Linked DNA regions of Struthio camelus. The protein of the gene in region 1 binds, or shares a complex with, the protein of each later gene. Links are inferred from orthologs where the notes say so. Each region holds a gene or a part of one and is shown on either strand. Other genes may lie near its edges.

The links.
Region 2: MED1 (region 1) and MED20 share a complex: the UniProt entries of both Homo sapiens proteins name them as parts of the mediator complex. The link is inferred for Struthio camelus from reciprocal best matches to the Homo sapiens genes MED1 and MED20.

What each region holds. Positions count from the first base shown.
Region 1 is NC_090966.1:6,513,566-6,522,627, forward strand, and holds the start of MED1 (mediator of RNA polymerase II transcription subunit 1), read right to left. Parts: upstream 3,856-9,062; 5' UTR 3,781-3,855; coding exon 3,753-3,780; intron 2,018-3,752; coding exon 1,911-2,017; intron 1,081-1,910; coding exon 1,002-1,080; intron 539-1,001; coding exon 484-538; intron 357-483; coding exon 224-356; intron 1-223. Other genes in the region: CDK12 (cyclin-dependent kinase 12), read left to right, coding at 5,411-6,465. UniProt on the Homo sapiens protein: Component of the Mediator complex, a coactivator involved in the regulated transcription of nearly all RNA polymerase II-dependent genes.
Region 2 is NC_090965.1:6,381,547-6,390,951, forward strand, and holds the start of MED20 (mediator of RNA polymerase II transcription subunit 20), read right to left. Parts: upstream 4,478-9,405; 5' UTR 4,405-4,477; coding exon 4,391-4,404; intron 4,383-4,390; exon of another isoform or gene 4,293-4,382; intron 3,735-4,292; coding exon 3,580-3,734; intron 1,652-3,579; coding exon 1,398-1,651; intron 1-1,397. Other genes in the region: BYSL (bystin), read left to right, coding at 4,567-4,807, 4,892-5,066, 5,152-5,290, 5,795-5,928, 6,181-6,341, 6,898-7,000, 7,374-7,722. UniProt on the Homo sapiens protein: Component of the Mediator complex, a coactivator involved in the regulated transcription of nearly all RNA polymerase II-dependent genes.

The DNA of each region.
Region 1 (9,062 bases):
ATGGTCCTTGCACACATGCACTGCATTGATCATCAGATTAAAGCATAAGAACAGACTACTCCAAGGAGGTTTTTAATTTCCACTAGAGCAAGCAGTAAAAATAAACTGTTAGGCCTCGACCAATGTTCAGTATAATCCATTTCCTCTGCTCATATAGAAGGGAACCAAAACAGCAGTTCCAAAGACAAAAAAGTATCACTCTCACATTTTCAGTAATACATACCACAGGATTTTCTCCATGGTGAGCCACCTTGACATCACACAGCAGCCCTGTAGGATCTAACTGGACTTCCACATAGAACATGTCTGAAGTGATGTAACATTCAGTGCCATTTGCACTAAGGTGAGATCCAAGGCTTACATACAAAACAAAACAAAAATTGCTATGAGATGCACACAAAAAACAATCAAACCAGCAGCGAGATTACGATGTGTACAGATAAACAAGAAATGCCTTTGCCATAAAATAAGAAGACAACCTACCCATTCTGTCTAGCTATAGACTCTAAACGATCTGTCATGGCAGGCAGAGAAGATACTAGATGGAGAAAGCAAAAAGCAAGGCTTAGTGAAATGATTCAACATTCCTCCAGGAATGAGACAGCAGCATTAAAAGCAATCTCAACAACTTACCCACTCCCAGGTGTTCTCATACCTTCACACATGCAGCTATACATATTATCAACACCCAAACTTCAGGCAGAACAATTTTTAAAGAGAAAAACAAACACTCCTCAGGAATACAAGGAGAGAACGGATTTCCTTCCACATTCCAGACAAGTGGAATTCAGGTATGGGTATTTACAATAAAAATAACAGGCAATCTTGAGTGGTACTGAACCATAAGAGGTAAGCATGCTTACGTAAACATGAGCACACATACACCAAGAACGCAGAGAGATACGTGCTAGCAAGAACCTTGCTTGCTTTTATGACGTGGAATATTTCCACAGCGTACCATTGCTAAGCAGTACATAAAGTGAACGCACAGACGTACTAACCTTTTAATGCCTTCTGCAAAGTCTCCAAACAGCTCACCAGATGTTGGTGCCCCCCGGAGTTCATCACAACTCGCTTTTCCTTAGTCAGAGAGAAGAAAAATGACCTTTTGATATATATCTCACTGAGAGGGAATTACTGCAATTTTTGCTCAGTCAACTAAGCTTTATTCAGGTAATTAAAGGCAGATTAGACTTCATCCCAAAATTACATCCTCATTTCGATTCCTATAATAACAACAGTATCCATTTTGAAAGCAGGTAACAAAGGCAGGCAACTTGTTCTTTAAGCAACTCGCTCATCTGGAAGAACAGACTGTAATAACTTTTTAATAGGCATAAGCTGAGAGTTATATAAGAGGAGACAGAGAAATACCTAGACGGGCAAACTTTTAACATCTCAGAACAACACATGCAGAAACCTTTGATGTAGCTCTCTCCTGCCTTCTGCTCCTACCTTCCCCCACCCAGAAACTAATGTTTCAAAACCACATTCAACTAAGCCAACACTGAATTCTGAACACTACGGACAAAGGAGTAAATTGCTTAAGAAAATAAAACATCTCGAAACAGCAAGTGGCAGAACAGTTGTGGTTTGAACCGGTGGTGAGAGACCTTAAGTTTGGCCCTCTTCCTGCATTTGTACTGACAGCTGCCCCCTGTCAATTAGGCTGTAAAGCGGGAGGCTGCAACCAGGGAAAGCAGAGGCACTCCAGGCAGACAGGACATGCACATCACTCCCCTGCACGCTGCTGGGCGAGACAACCGGCATGCCTCAACCGCAGTGGCCCAACAGGAAGTCGAGGCTTGGATAAAAAGCAAAGCGCTTTGAAGAGATCTAACAAACCAACAACAGAATCATTACTAAAGATGCTCCTGAAACTCTCCTGCTCAGATTCCAACAATCCTCACCATGACTTGGCGGACTAGCTTCATGGTTTCTGTCCAAGGTCTGTTTTGGTTAAACTTTGCATGAAGTCTTTCTAAGAGCGAACTCATCTTATTCAGCTTCTCTGCTTCTATAAGGCAAATCATAGGAGAAAATTCAGAAGAGAGAGAACTAGATAAAATTTAAAGTTTTACAAATACAACAAGCAGGCAGTTGTAACAAAAACACTTTCCATCTTCAAGCTAAAAATGATTTCACAAAACTTACTTATTGCTGATTTATCACTGGGACCTAGACTTCAAGGTTATATGACATTAAGGATGTATCTATTAAAATATTATAACTAATAGATATAACTATTAAAACCTAGATGATCATCAAAGGTCTAAGGGCTCGTTGGGAGAAGCCCAGTTACTATTCTGCATGGACCCTGAATGAGATGAACGGTTCCAGACGACTAAGTTCTGTATGACAGTAATATGTCAGAGCACTGTTTGGGTTTACAGCAGCATGGCTTAAAGACGTGCTGAAGCTTTTTGAGGACAAGGAGTAGAGAGTGTAGAAAACATCGCATCAGCAAACTTTTAAAGAACAGAGGTTAAGCTTTCATCTCCTGACTTCACCTTCACTGTTCATACTCTTCTAACCCTCCGACTTCTTGCATTGTAAAGATTTGCACTGATCCCTTCATCTCTCACACCCTTAATTAAATTGATTCAACTGCCAGTGCTTCAGAGGGTCGAAAACTCTCTGACCAGACACGTTTTCACCCACCCTCTGTTAGCCTGAGACCAAGGACTGGTGTCTTCGTGCTGTTCTGGAACCAGTGTACGGCTCTATATCCTGTGATCTAACAAAGCAATTGATGACCTGTTTTGCTCTGCCTTCAAGAGTGGTTCACAGCTCAGTACCAGACTGGAATCTAGTCAACCTTTACAAAATGCTTGTCATATCCCACCAACTTCCTTCTATTAGGTATGGTTTTACAAGCTCGTTTTCCTGTATTTTAGAAAGTTCCACTGTTAGGAAAAGTATCTCCCTGATGAGATAAACTGATGAGAGGTGGGAGACAGGGACACTGACTGGGCAGAAAACTATCATCAGGCAGATTAACTAAAAAAATCCAAATTAGAATAGTGTATTTTTGCCCAATGTCTAATAAAAAACACATACAAAAAAAAAGAGACAGTTTCAAAAGTGTTATAATTTGACATTTCTTTTGCTATCTAGGAGACAGCTTTTTCTACAGTTGCATTCTTTGAAAAACCCAACGGACATCACTGCCAAAATAAATCTCTCACTGGCACTGCAGGGTCCAAGGCAAACACAAAGGCTACTAACCGCCATGCTGTGCAACACTGCAAACTTTGTAGAGCTCATTTTCATGATCGACGTGCGTACAGTTCACAGAATTAGCAGGGATCCCCACCAAGTCCCAGTGTAAAACATAACTAAACGTTTGTCAGATGTTTCCAGGCACTTTATACCTCTCAGTTACACTAGGGACAAGGGGATTTTTTTTGCCAGAGTGCAGCGCAGTCAGAGCTTCCCTTGGATGTTTGCCCTTATACCCTTCAAAAATGGAACAAGCCCTGCAGCCGGCGCGGGGAGGCCCAAGGGGTGCGTTACATGCACTACGGCGGGGAAAGCCCGGGGCGGTGCCGCCGGCCGAGGGGTCCTCGCCCCTCACGGCGGGCCGCAGCCGCGGTACCACCTCTCGGGGGGGGGGAGGGGGGGAGATACACGACACCTACGGCCTAACCCGGGGCGGAGACACCGGGAGCCCCTCGCCGGGCGGCCGGGCCCCGCGGCTCCTCACAGGGCCGGCCCGGCGCCCTCGGCCGCGCCCCTCAGGCGGCACTCACCCTCAGCGCCGCCCGGCGCCGCCTTCATGGCGCGGCTGGGGACGGGCGGCCCCGAGCGGGCCGCGGCACCGGCCTCGCGTCGGGTGGGCGGCGGCGGCCGGGCCCCTCCGCGCCGGCCTCACTCGGCGGCCGCCGCCATCCCAACGGCCGCGGCTGCGCTGCGGGCGGGCCGGCGCGCGGCGCTCCCGCCCTCTCGCGAGAGGGCGGCCGCGTCCTCTCGCGAGAGCCGGGAAAGCAGGGGAGGGGGAGGGAAGAGGCGCGCGCGCCGCGATCTCGCGAGAGCGGGAGGGGGGAAAGGGGCGTGGCCCGCGGGAGCCCCGCCCTCCCCTTTCAGCGCGGCGGCGTTCGCCGGCTTCCCGCAGCCCGGCAGGGCCCGGCGGCCAGCGGCAGCCCGCTCACAGCCGCGGCCGAGCCGCCTTTACGGCTCCCTCTGTGAGGCTCTACCTGCCGGACGATGGAGCTGGCCGCCTCGCTGCCAGGCCGCGGCGGTGCACCGGCTCCCCGGGCCCGCGGGGCGGCCGCCTTGCCCGCATCTTCCCCCGGCCGGCGCTGCCGAGAGGCGGAGCCGTAACCCCCGGCGTTCGGCCTGGTCGCGTAGGGGCGAAGGCGCAAAGCCCAGAGCGAGCCTCAGAGCAGCGCCGCGTTCGCCAGCCGAGCTCGGGCGGGTTTCCGTGAACTTTGAGCCCCCTGTGAAACTTCTCCCCCAGGCCCCGAGCCACTGGCAGAGCTGAGGCCCGGTCACCTCCCCCCTCAGCGGGCGGCTGGGCCGCGGCGCTTCGAGAACGGGTCCGTGTCCCGGGGCGGCCGCCGCCTGAGGCAAAGGGGGCGGCCATGGCCGCCCCGCGCGCCCTTATAAAGTTTTGTTGAAAGTGCGCGGCCGGGGGGGGGGAGGGGGGTTGTCCGCTCTCGGGGCCCCAATAAAGTTTCATTCGACGCCGGCGAGCGCGTCATCGGCAGAACTCTCGCGAGAGGAGGAACGCGCCCCGCTTCCCTTCCCTCCCCCCCTCTCCCCGCCCCTTCCGGCAGCTCTCGCGGGATCGGCGGCAGCGGCGGCGGGGCGGAGGGCGGCGGCGTTCTCGCGAGAGGCGGCGGGCTCTCGCGAGATTTGGCGGGCGCCCCCCCCCCCCCCTTGGACGCGGTGCCGTTTCGCTTTGGGAAGTGAGCGGGGGGCGCGGCGGGCCGAGCCGGGCCGGGCCGGGCACGCGGCGGCGCGGGGCGGCGGCGGCGAGGGGCGGCCTTCCGCCTCGGCGGCGGGGCGAGGGGCCGGCGCGGCGGGGCCCGGTGCTGAGGCGGCGGGAGGGGGAAGGAGGGAGGGATCTTGGGCCCAGGCCCCGCCTTCCCGGGGCGCCCCCGCGGCGGCGCTGCCCTCCGGGCCTGGGCCCCTCGGGTGAGGCGGTGAGGCCGGTGCCCTTCCGCCGCCGGTTCCCCCTTCCGCCTCCTCCTCCGCCTCCTCCTTCTCCTCTGCCGCCGCGGGGCCGAGCTCGCCGGCCCGCTCCCCATGTAAGGGGTGGGGGGTGTTGGCGGCAGGGAGGGCCGAGGCGGGGGGCGACGCTGCTCTGAATGGTGGGAGGGGAGGGAGCTGGGTGCTGAGGGAGTTTAAAGTTTGGGGGTTTTGGAGGATTCCCCCCCTCCCCTCTTTCAAGCACAGTGGAGGAGGAATGCCAAATCCGGAGAGACATGGGGGCAAGAAGGACGGGGGCGGTGGGGGGTCCTCGCAGCACGCGCCTGGCAGCGGCAGTTCGAACAGCAAGGAGAGGCATCGGCTGGCCTCCAGGCACAAGAGGCATAAGTCCAGGCACTCCAAGGAGTCACCGCTGGCAGCCCAAGAGACTGCGGCACCCTTGGGCGCAATGATCAAGCCGCTGGTGGAGTACGACGACATCAGTTCAGATTCGGATACCTTCTCGGATGATGTGGCCCTCAAGCTGGACAGGAGGGAGAACGAGGAAAGGAAAGCGGACAGGAGCGAAAGGATACAGAAGCACCGGCACCACCAGCACAAGCGCATTCGTGAGCTGATGAAGAGCAAGCAGGCGGAGAAGGAGAGGAAGTTAGAAAAGAGCCTGGAGGCATCTAGCAGGTCAGGGTCCACCAAGGACAGACTATCAGGATCCTCCAAGAGACTCCTCGATGACAACGAGGAGCACCCCAAGTCACTGTCTTCGAAGAGTAGCAACAAGGAGTCTCGGTCAGCCAAAGCGCACAAGGAGAAATCCAGGAAGGATCGAGAACTCAAGTCCAGCCACAAAGAGCGCAGTAAAAGCCACCGGAAAAGGGATGCTCCAAAAAGTTATAAAACAATTGACAGTCCGAAGCGGAAATCCAGAAGTCCTCACAGAAAATGGTCTGACAGCCCTAAATTGGATGACAGCCCCTCAGGAGCCTCCTACATCCAGGAGTATGATATCAGCCCTCCCCGGTCTCATACATCCAGTAACTATGATTCTTACAAGAAGAGCCCCGGCGGCTCATCACGCAGGCAGTCGATCAGCCCGCCCTACAAGGAGCCTGTGGCCTACCAGTCGAACACTCGCTCTCCCAGCCCTTACAGCCGGAGACAGAGGTCTATAAGTCCCTATAACAGGAGGCGCTCCTCAAGCTACGAGAGAGGAAGCGGGTCGTACAGCGGGAGGTCGCCCAGCCCGTATGGCCGAAGGCGCTCGAGCAGCCCTTTTGTTGCGAAGCGGTCTGTGAGCCGAAGTCCGATAGCCAGGTGCGTGACCTCTGTGTTGCCTTCGTTGGCTGGGCGATGGGGAAGGAAAAGTGGAATGGGGAAGGAGGAAGTATCTAGGGGTGGTCGGGGTGGCTCTGGGAATGTGGAAATTAACCCCCTTTGTCATCTAGATCTGACCCAGATCACTCTGTGCTGTGGCTGCGTTATTTGGCCGCAGAGTGACTGACTTTGGTGAGGTTCGCTGCAATTCTCTTTAAAATGGTGTTCACACCTTAGAAAACACCTCCCTCACTGGCACTAAGCAGCGTCCATGTTGGCTCTCAGCAGAGAGGCCTAGGACTGAATGAGCTCTTGGGATTAAATTACACTTACCTCTAGAGGTGGCCCCCTGCGGAAGGGAGCGAAGGGGAGCAGGGAGCTGCATGTCCACTGGAGACAGAGCTTTTCAACTCCTGAGGCACTTCAGTGGTGTGAATTTCAGTTAGGAAGAATGTTTTCACTTATTTCTGGAACCCTTTAGCTTTTTGCTGGATGTGGAAACTTGCTCACGCTTTTCAGGAGGGTGGCTTTTGTTCTGAGTATATTTTACTCTTTCTAAACTGACTTATTTTTTTTCTTTCTTTCCTTGAATTAAAGATGACCATGTTTAAACTGCATCTTTCTAGCCTAGACTTTATCAGTAATGGAGTTACTTGCTTCCATATTCTGAAATCAGGGCATTCTGGAAGGGCAAGTAGGAAGCAGCTGTATTCTTGGCTTAATTATAATTTTCTTTCTCTTCCCCCCCCCCCCACTCTCTCCTTAGTCAGAAATCTTGCTACAGAAGGAAACTATTACTTGAAAGTGGTGCTAACTCTGTGTTTTGTTTCAGATGTTTATTAACCATCCTGTTATGTGCACAAATACGTAGTCTAATGCTGATTCTCTTTTCTAGCTTCAGCTTAGGTTGAACAAGTTTCCAGTTTTCACTGTGTGTGCTGTGGAGCTTTGGTTGTAGCTCCATGGCAATTAAGATCTGACCTGGAACGTAATAACTATTGAAATGCTCTGTACTGTGTTGGCTGTGCTGCATCCTTTGGTCCAAATAGGAGCTGTGAGAGAAGAGTCTGCCTGCAGAACTTAGTTACATCATCAATAGTTCCCAGAGAACTTGGTGATTTTGGAATTTGGGCTTTATTACTAGAGCTCCTCTCTTAACTTCAGAGACTGCTATGTTCTGGGGTTGAAACATCGCCTTTCTCCTCACTGTATGAGCAGTGTATTGTTTAGTATCCTGGAAGCTGTTATATAAAATCTGCTGTGTAAAATCGTAGAATAAGCAAATAAGTAGAAATAAGCGAAAGTTACCCTGCCTTTCCTTCAGCCAGCTGAGTCCAGGCCTGTTTCTCCCTCCCCGTTTTCTGTGCGTATACATGAGAGATGTTGAGAGGGAGTCTTTGATGGCTTTCTTTTCCCTCCCCTCAATTCTTTTTGCCTTAATAGCACTGCTCTTACAGGTTATTTGGTAATGCTTTGTGCAAGAGTAAGAACAAAGTGGTAGAAACTTATGTACGGTATGTGATGTAATAGCGTATATGGGATCTGCTAAGTTTCCGTGCTCGGCTGTAACCAGGGAGAAACTGCTTGGGGAGTGAAGTGATATACTAAAAGGTGGTCTTTCCCTCGGTCGCCTTATTTCCCAAGCAAATCTGAAGCTCGCTCTTTCTGTGAACGGCCAGTTGTTTTTGACTTGAGGAATCAAGCTGTTATCTTTTCGCCATCTTAATTATGGGAGCAACTCTGAAGCAGTTTGTGATTCCCTGAGCTTACATACCTATGTAGGAAACTTTCTCAAGGCATCTTTGACTCACTGACAAAAAGCTAGACCCAAACCAAAATAGATTTCAGAGGTTACTTATTGTTTACACTCTGCTTGCACTAGAATCTTTGAATCTATGACTTCTGTTGATAACCTGTCACTCTTTTCTCCTTTTTGAAAGATAGCTTACTGACATTGATATGGTTTTTTTTTAGAGCAGAACATAAAGCATGGATTACGCCTTCAGAAAACATCTGCCTTGGGTGATTATGTTAAAGGGACAGAGAGAACTTGAAATTTGCCTAATATATGAAAAATACTTTAAGTTGCAATTAATATATTGGTTTTGCTTCATTAAGCTTGCAGTCAGTACTGTGTGGAAGTCAATTTACGCTTATGGTCAAACATCTGCTCCGGAAGCCAGAGATGTCCCGCAGCTGTGTGGTACTACCCCTCTGCTGAAGGCTGTCCAAGAGCTCACCTGAAGGAACTGATCAGCTGAGTATTCCTCACCTGCTTCACTGAAAAGTCAGCTTTGGTTGACTCGCTGCAGATGAGCATTAGATGGAGGCAGCTGACTTTGCACCAGGGTAGCCATGGAGTGACTGCATGATATGTTCCATTGGCTCCTGCAGAGGGGCAGTAACAAACAGTTTGGGAGAGAAATCATCTTAAACTGTTACACTCACTTCTGTACTGAACATCTGACTATGGCTTAAATTCTTTAGAGGAGGTAACTTAGGCTTTTCTGGGACACTGAATTATTTCCACTGCCTGAAAATATGTTTGTTTTTTTTTTTCCAAGTGCCTTTTACATTTTCTTTAACCTATATGTCCA
Region 2 (9,405 bases), on another chromosome or scaffold:
CATGTGTGGGTGTGACATCTTTCAGGTGTGTGTTGAAAAACTTTGGGTCTTAAGTATTTGCAGCCTCTTATTAGAGAGGAGTCTGGTCCCAAATCAGGAGTGGGTCCTAATGCAAGCCCTGAAAAAAAAACTACTAAATCAAAACGGAAGCAACCAGACCATCTGGCAAATCTGGTCCTGAACTCTAAAAGTTTAGAGTAAAACAAACTTCTGCTTAACCCCAGATTAACAGGAATGCTGACACTATTACAATGTTTGTGTTTACTCAACTGAAGGGGAAAAAAGAAAAAACACATTTCTCAATCCCCATCACTGCTGGCTAGTAACACCTGCCTGAGTAGGTTCAGTGTGATTATTAATTACGTATCAGGTAATAGGATTTGTGTTTAGAAAGGCATAAGCTCAGCTCTTTGACCTTTAAGCATCTAATTCTCAGCTATCTTAAAGAGTGTTAGGCTTTAATGTATCTAGATATCTTGAGTCTGACCTACTCTGCCTTACCCTTCCCACAGCAGCACAGACCAGCTTCTTGTCTTATTCTGAGAGCCTTTTCAGCCCAGGTGAGGCTCGTCCATGGCTCGTAAGCCTTTGAGTTGCACATCCATTCAGCCAACTGTCTCCCCAAATGACTTCATAGCTCCTCCTGTGACCCTTCATCTGTACTGAAGGATCGCCCTGCAGCTGGCACGAAACAACTGGTGCTCTCAAGCCTAATCAACAGTCAGGCTGCTGAGCAGAAACAGCGGAAGCTGTTTGATGACAGGCTTTGTGCCCACACTGCACCCCACAGTGCAGCAATCCAGGTCAGCCATGGGGTAGGACTGACGCCTGCAACGCAAAGCTCTCTGAAGAGGAGACGCCATCTTTATGCCATGTGCGTGCAGAACCTAGGGCAGGAGGACCGTGCTCTCCACTGGGATGCCTAAGCCCAGCCATTTTCTGCTCAAGATGGGGAAAGAAAGCAAAACCCAAATCAGCATTAAATTATCAGCTAAAGAGATTGTTTTGTCCCCCTTGGTATGTTTAATAACCTGAAGCGTGCTACTAGTGTCGTGCGTCAGGACTTTAAGCAGCTTTTTAGTTTGATGGCATCCCTTCAGGGCTTTGTTTATTGACACTTCAATGACAGGCTCTTCCACAGCTGCAGCTGAGCCCCAGAGTATCTGCCTGAATTAAACCTTGCCTTGAAAAGGCAATAAATACTCCTTGCACATACACGAATACATCTAGTACAAACTAACAGCAACTAGTATACAAGTTCACATTTGAGAGGCTGGCCTGCAGGCCAAGCAGTCAATACATGGAAGGAAGAGGGGCTCAAGATTTCTAGTCTAGCATCTAATATGAGATTTCTCTATCTGTAGTTGTATTTTATATCAATCAAAGACAATCCTTACCTCCACAGATATCCCACGGGCACTGGGCCCCATTGTAACCGTGCCCACCTTCACCAAGAAGTCACAGTACTGGTAGCGGGTTCCCCGGCTCTCTATCTTGTTCGCCTTGGCATTTTGGAAGAAGCCTTTCAGCTTCACCATAAGGATATCAAAGTTGGCATCTGCTATGAGGCAGGGACCATTTTCAAAGAGAGCGAAACAGCTGAGGGGATATTCAGAGTTGTGCATCACATACATCAGCTTGCCTGTCTGCCCTGAAACAAGAGCAATGATATATGGGCTGCAGAAACAACAGTCCTGTGCTTGTATGTGCTTTTAAGAAAGAAACATCTCTTTGCTTTCCCTTTGTTTTCCTTGCTGCTTCAATTCTAGGATCCTTGTATTAGTCTCACACACTTTACGTTTTCTGAGTGTTCCGGAGATAGGTTATATTTCCCTCTTAGGGTTTAAAACTAAAGGAAAAAAAAATCTCATGCAGCCACTCCTTGCCCAGGGACAAGACGGCAGTGCAACTCAAGGGCCAGACTTGGATGTTAGATCTCCAGCAGGATGAGAGGGTCAGCAAAGAGCACCTGCTCCCCTCCCAGAACATGGGGCTGTCCTCTTCAGCCCTGCAGTAAAGGGAGAAAAGCTGGGTTTTGCCTCATCTCCCAGTCGCTGACCAGCCCCACAGAGCTAGCAAAGGAAGGAGGTGCCTGGGCACATTCTGGAAAACAGGACATCCAGAGAGGATGTGCCTAGCTTGTACAGTGATTCAGAAGTGGAAGAGGATTCTCATTTATCTGTGTTGGTTAAAAAAGCCTCTCAACAGATGTGATTGTGCAAGTTCCAGTTCCAGCTCCAGCAAAAAGCCCCTCTCATAGCTTCAAACCTGCAGACACATCCGCAAAACCCGACAGCAGGGCAGCTGAAGCAGCACCCCAGCTGCACCAATCTGCCTGGGAAGAGCGGTGAGGCTGGAAGGGCTCAGTGCTGACCTCTGCAGCCGCAGAAACACTGGAGGGATGTTCACACTGGTTTTTAAATGCTGTTAAAAGCCACATGCTTGGGAGGGAAAAGGAGGGGAGCACAGTCCCCCCAAGTGAGCAGATTAAGTCACGTCTTTCAGCTCTCCCGTTAGGCCCTGTGATGTCCAGAGGGAATGCCAGGTCCTCCAAGCACATCCCCCGGCCACGACTGGGTCATTTCACACCTCAGAAATTCCCCTAGAGCTGCTCACCACCGCCTGCCTGCCCTGGGGAGCCTGCTTTCTTCTCTGCTACCACCTCCTGCCCTCGATCGCTCACCCTCCTGGAGAAGAAGGGCAGAGCAGGTGACAGCAACAAGTTGCTCTCAGGAGACTCCTGTAACTTAGCTGCTGTGCAAAACGCAGCCTCCAAAACAAGTCACCAACAGTAACGCTTTAAGAAGCCTTAGGGAAAAAAACACTGCCAAACTGGCAGCTGGTTTTTGACCACTTATCTTATTTCACACGCACAAAAGAGAGATCCTACACAGCTGCTGATATTCCAGTTAAGAATCCTTAAGCGCTGACACAACACAGCTATCCTCAGTGCAGGAAAGGACAACCGTGGGGCATGTGTGTAACAGAGAAAACAGCATTAGTGAGACACAACAGGCTCCCAAGTGGAACGGCGCGTTTAGTCATTCAACATGTCTGTTCCAGGGCAGCCCACGGCACGCAGCACCCAGCCGCGGGGCCAGCGGAGCTGTCGGAATGACCTTCCCCGGCTCTCTGGGGACGATGCGCAGGGGCGCTATGTTTCCCAAAGCTATTCATCTGAGAGGGGAAGAGGTGAACTGCGGTATGAATCTTTCAAGGTAGAAAAAAGCTTTTACAAGCAGCCAGGCAACTGCCCGTTCCCCACAAGAGCTCAACACAATAAATAAAATGATGCTGACTTGTGGAAGAAACCTCAATTGCAGGGCAGAGCGGCGATCTCGCACGTAGCACGCGCTTGTTCCACAAGGGACCTCGCTGTTACTGCAGCCGGATTTCGCTACCAGCACGCTGGGCACGAGATGAAAGACCGAGAAACGCTCACGGGAGAAGAGAAGCCTCCGAGCTGGCACTGGATGAGAGCCTGCAACCACCTCCCTCCCTTTTACCGCGACCGGTCTCCGGGGGACCGCAGCTGCGGGGCATGCCCGGGGGTGGCGGCAGCGGGGGGCCGGCCCTGACCTTGGTTGCCCATGGTGGAGGCGGCGGTGTGGTAGGTCTCGCAGTCCACGCAAAACGTCCCCTGCTTCTCCGCCCCCAGCAGCTCCAGCTTCCTCGTCAGCATTTCGACCGTCTGCTGGACGCTCTTGCCCTCGGCCACGGGCACCTGCGCCACGCTGCGGGGGGAGGCGTCAGCGGCGCCTGCGAGCCCGGGGACCCGGCCTGGCCGCCACGGCCCCGAGCCAGGGGGTTAACGGCACCCGGGACGGGGGGAGGGCCACGGTGTCCCCCCGTGACAGCACCCACGCTGGGGGGGGGCCATCTGCCACAGCCTCCCCGTGACGGGGCCCATGGAAGGGGGGGGGACAGCTCCCGCTGCGGCCTCCCCGTGACGGGGCCCACGGAAGGGGGGGGGACACCCTCCGCTGCGGCCTCCCCGTGACGGGGCCCACGGAAGGGGGGGGACACCCTCCGCTGCGGCCTCCCCGTGACGGGGCCCACGGAAGGGGGGGGACACCCTCCGCTGCGGCCTCCCCGTGACGAGGCCCACGGAAGGGGGGGGACACCCTCCGCTGCGGCCTCCCCGTGACGGGGCCCACGGAAGGGGGGGGGACAGCTCCCGCTGCGGCCTCCCCGTGACGGGGCCCACGGGAGGAGGAAGGAACACCGCAACCCCCGCAACGAGAGCACCCACGGGGGAGGGAACATGCAGTTGCCCCCCGGCCAGCACCCACGGGGGAACCGTCCGCCGCAGCCCCCCGAGACGGCACCCACGGTGGAGGGGAGAGGGGGAACCGCCTCGCGCCCCCCTCCCCCCCCCCGCCATCCTTACCACGTGACGCCCATGGCGCGCGGCGGCGGCGGCCCCGGCAGCGCCGCTGCCGCGCGGGGGCCGCGGGCGGGGCGGAAGTGACGTGCGGGGCGTGAGGCGGCGTGTGACGTGGTGCCTGCGGCGCCGCGCGCGCCCTCCCGGCCCGGCCTCGCTCCCCCGCCGCCGCCGCCGCCATCATGCCGAAGGCCCCGGCCCGGGCAGGGCCCCGCGAGCGGGCGCCGCCGCTGGCCGAGCAGATCCTGCGGGCGGCGGCGCCGCGGCCCACGGCGCGCGTGAAGCGGCGCGGCGCGGCGGGTGGCGATGATGATGGCGGCTACGTGGACTCGCGGCTGTCGCGGCGGATCCTGGAGCAGGCGCGGCGGCAGCAGGAGGAGCTGGAGGCCGAGCACGGCCCCGGCGCGCCCGCCGCTGCCCTGGGTGAGCCCCGAGGCGGGGTCGGGGGGAGGCCGGGGGGGGGGGGTCCGGCCTTGCCCCGCGCTGACCCGGCCCCGTTTCACGCAGGCCCCGCGCCGCCCGGCCCGGACAGCGAGGAGGAGGAGGCGGCGGCGGAGGAGGAGGAGGAAGAGTGGCCCTCGCTGGAGCAGGCCGCGGCGGGGCGGTGGTGCCAGGAGGTGGCCGTGGACCCCGAGGACGAGAAGGCCATCGAGATGTTCATGAGCAGGAACCCGCCGCTGAGGTGGGCCGGGGGCCGGCGGGGCGCCGGGCCGGGGGCCGGGGACCGACGCTTGACTCACTCTCGCTTCCCTTCGTCCCGGCCCCAGGCGCACGCTGGCGGACATCATCATGGAGAAGATCACGGAGAAGCAGACGGAGGTGGAGACGGCGATGTCGGAGATAACGGGTTGCCCCATGCCTCAGCTCGACCCCCGCGTCCTGGAGGTCTACAGGGGCGTCCGAGAAGTAAGGCCGAGGCGGCTCCGCTCTGCGCGGGGGCCCGGCGGCGAGGCTGCCTCAGAGGCTGTTCTGCTACAGCCCGTAGCGCTCACCTGGCAGCGATCGCTGCCGAGCCCCCCTTTCCCTTCGCTGGTAGTAAGTACAGCGATCAGGACGTGTTCAAGGAGAGAAGCTCAGCTGGGGGTAAATTGGCATTTTCATGAGCAAAGTTGCTAATCTCCTTGCAGTGAGACACCCTGGGAAGCCCGAGAGAAACCCCACACCAGAAATGGGAGGGTGGTGTGATTAGTTAGCACGGCCCAGACAGTGCTTCCCTGGGTGTGCTCTTTCTCTTCAAAATAAATTAACTGCGATTTACATAGTGTCATTCACTGAAGACCCCAGAGTGTTTCTGAATGACTGAATCTCAAGGTCATGAAACAAATCCTGACGAATCCCCATGGTCCTGCTGTCAGTTCCACTATATCACTGCCAGGCTTGCATCCATTCCTTTTTTTGTTTTTTTTTAAGGTGCTGTCCAAATACAGGAGTGGCAAACTCCCCAAGGCATTTAAAATCATTCCTGCCTTATCCAACTGGGAGCAGATCCTGTACATCACAGAGCCAGAGACATGGACAGCAGCTGCCATGTACCAAGCAACCAGGTAGAATTGTGTCTGGGAATTACTGATTTTTTTTTTTTATTATTCGCTTCATCTTTCCACAAGCGAATACCAGATACGCAAAATGCCAGTCTGTGTCCTGCTTTCCTGTTCCTTTGCATGCCAAGGTGGAGGGAGTCATGGGGATCTCATAGCTGATGCCCTGGCTCAGGTACTGCCTGCAGTTACACACTCCCAGGACCTCTCTCCAGAGACAGACAGATCACAGCTTGCTTTGTGCTTCGCTCTTCCCAGGATATTTTCATCCAACCTGAAAGAAAGGATGGCCCAGAGGTTCTACAACCTGGTACTGCTGCCTCGGGTCAGGGATGACATCGCCGAGTACAAGCGTCTCAACTTTCACCTCTACATGGCTTTGAAGAAGGCTTTGTTCAAGCCAGGAGCCTGGTTCAAAGGTAGAGACTTCCCACAGGGTGATGGTTTGTACATAGGAGCCTTGCAGCCATACAGCAGCTGGGAAGCTCAGCAGGGGCATGTGTTGCACACTTGCCTTGTAACAGCACACCATGCTGTGTGTGGTGCGATGACTTCTGTCACGGCTGCAGCAGCCCAAGGGGTTGGTGGGAAGAAGGAGGGCAGAGAAGAAGCAAAAGAGATGTAGAGACCCCCTTGGGCCCATTTGCACCCTTCTGTGCTGAAGGGCAATGGGTACTGGCGGGTTACGCAGGTGCTGCCAGCAGATACTGGCAGATACTTGGTTTCTTTTGGAGGTCAGTAGCCCATTACAAATTATCCTAGGCCTGATCTGCATATTGTCTAGCAACCTGAGGATGTTTGGTGCTAGATGCATGGAGAAGAGGGTGGAAAGAGATATTGAAACTCCCATAACATAAACCAATGGAGGATCCTCTAATTCCTGGAGTCAGATGCATCCGGGGATAGGAGAAGGCAGCTCTGCCTGCTATGTTTAAGGACAGCAGTGTCTAACACTTTCCCCCCCGCCCCTGGCAGGGATCCTCATCCCCCTGTGCGAGTCGGGGACCTGCACGCTGCGGGAAGCCATCATCATCGGCAGCATCCTCACCAAGTGCTCTATCCCTGTCCTTCACTCCAGGTAACGTGGCAGTGGGGCCCTGCTGCCATGGGGTACTGGGAAGGATGGGCAGGGGGAACGGTTCTCCCTTTGTGATGCCGGAGCGATGCAATGGATCTGTCCCTAAGCCTCTCTGGCCTCTCGGAGACAGAGAAGGTTTCACCCAGCTCTGCCTTGTCTGTGCAGGGCTGAGGTTCAAGGCTTCCTGCAGTGCTGGGGCTGTCATCCGTGTGTCTGGGACCCACTGGGGCAGGGCTCAAGGGACAAGCTAACCTGGGAGAAAGGGAGCCTTCAGCTGTCCACGTCACGGGTGCCCCGTAGCTCTTGCTTGGCCTGCAGGTGCTGAGGCCCTGCCACACCTGCCCTCACCTTGGTGCTCCCTCCGTCCCCACAGCGCAGCCATGCTGAAGATTGCTGAGATGCAGTACAGCGGTGCCAACAGCATCTTCCTCCGCTTGCTCATTGACAAGAAGTATGCACTGCCCTTCCGCGTGGTGGATGCGCTTGTCTTCCACTTCCTGGCCTTCCGCACAGACCAGCGGGTCCTCCCTGTCCTGTGGCACCAGAGCTTCCTGGCCTTCGCCCAGCGCTACAAGGAGGACCTGTCCTCGGAGCAGAAAGAGGCCTTGCTCGAGCTGCTCAAATTCCACTGCCACCCACAGATCTCGCCAGAGATCCGGAGGGAGCTGGTGAACTCCAAGACACGGGATGTGGAAGGGCAGCAGCCTGTGGCCATGGAGTGAGCAGGAAGAGGTGGGGAGGCAGGGATCTGCTCTGAGAGCTTGCCAACTGCCTGAGGACGCTGGTGGATGCAGCTTGGAGCTCGGCTCGGAACGAAGCCATTGGGAGGTGCATGTGAGCTTCTGTCCCTGGGATCCTGCTGCTCCAAGCCGGGTGCTAGGAGCAGGCTGTGTCCAGTGACCCAGACTGTGCTCTTTGCGCTGCTTGTTGTGGGACAAGGCAGTCCCCTGTCCCACCCTGCGAGTCCGGTGCCCAGCAGTACCCAGGTGAGAGGAGGGTTTGGCCTGTTCCCATTTTGGAGAATAAAGCCCAAGCTGTGTCTATCGGTCCAGGGGCGATTCTGCCCCACGGTCAGACCTCTCTTTCAGCTGCGCCCATGGTGTGGCGCTGCCTTGTCCTAGTGTTGCTGTGTCCTATCTGCCTTGGACTGTCCCCAGCAGGTGGCAGAGCAAAGCCACGAGCTGGAGGCTTCGTGCAGAGCTGCGTGCCAGAGCTGCAGGTGCTGTCCCAGCTGCGAAGGGAGAAAAGGGCCCCTGTGCATCCCCGCTCCCCTCCCTGTGCCCCTGCTGCCCAGGGGACTCCTGCCTACACTGTGCCCCGAGAACCCGGTGGGCGAGGGAAGGGAGAGTGGCTCCCTCTTCAAGGGAAGCAGGGTGAGAAAGGGCTGGGACCTGCTAGCAGAAATGCAGAGGTGCAGGGAGTTGTGAGGGGGGTTCCCCAGGCTGCTGCTTGAGCAGGGGGAGAGGGTCAGCACTGAGCAGGGCAGGGACAGGCCACGCGTGTTTTGTTGGCTGTAAGAGAGGTGCACGTTGTGTGAGGTGGTGATGTCTCAACTGTTGTCAAAGCTGCTCTAAGGGGTTTAAAAAAAAAAAAAAAAGGGCTCCTTCTAGTGCTTGAGGGTTTCCTTACCCTATTACCAGGGTAAGGGTACCAGGGTTTTCTTACCAGCTATTACCAGGCAAGTGAGGTGTAGAGCTGCCTTTGTCATGTCCACTGTTAGGCTGCACTACAGCCCTGAGCTGCGACAGCGTGGGCACGGGGCACATGGTCCGGGCAGTGGCGAGTGCAAGAGCAGCACAGCAGTACTGAAAGCAACAGGGAAAGCCCCATGGTGGCCAGCACAGAGGGAAAAGCCTCCAGCTGGCAGAGAGCAATGAGCTATGCTTCTTAGGGTGCCTGGGAGCAGGCTGGGGCACAGGGCAGCCTTGACTCCCCCCCAGTTCCTTTACTGCTCCCTGCAGTGGGTCCCTTGCTGGCTGCTCCTGGGCCTGGGCCACCCTCCTTCCCCTTGCTGCACCTATTGCAGACTTGTCCCTGCGACTTGGCTCCCCAGCCACTGACCTCCCTCTCCCCACCACCGTCCCTCCTCCAAAATGCCCGCCAGCCCCTTTTGCTAGTGAAGGAGCTGGGTTTTTTTTTTTGAAACATACTGGGTTTGCTCCTCAGCAAGGTTTGTAAAGCTCCAGCCTCCAGGGCCGCTTTCCTCGGCTGCCCAGTGAGGCTGCGTACCTGCCCTCATTGCAGCAGCCTGCCCACACACGTTTCATATCCACTGGAAAACCCAGCTGCATTTTTCCTCCTCTTGGCCTGTGAGGTTCTGCACTTACCTGGGGACTTGCTAAGGGCTCCAGGTGATGCTGTGACAGTACAAGGCCCACATGCTTGCGCATAACTGGCCTTGCCCC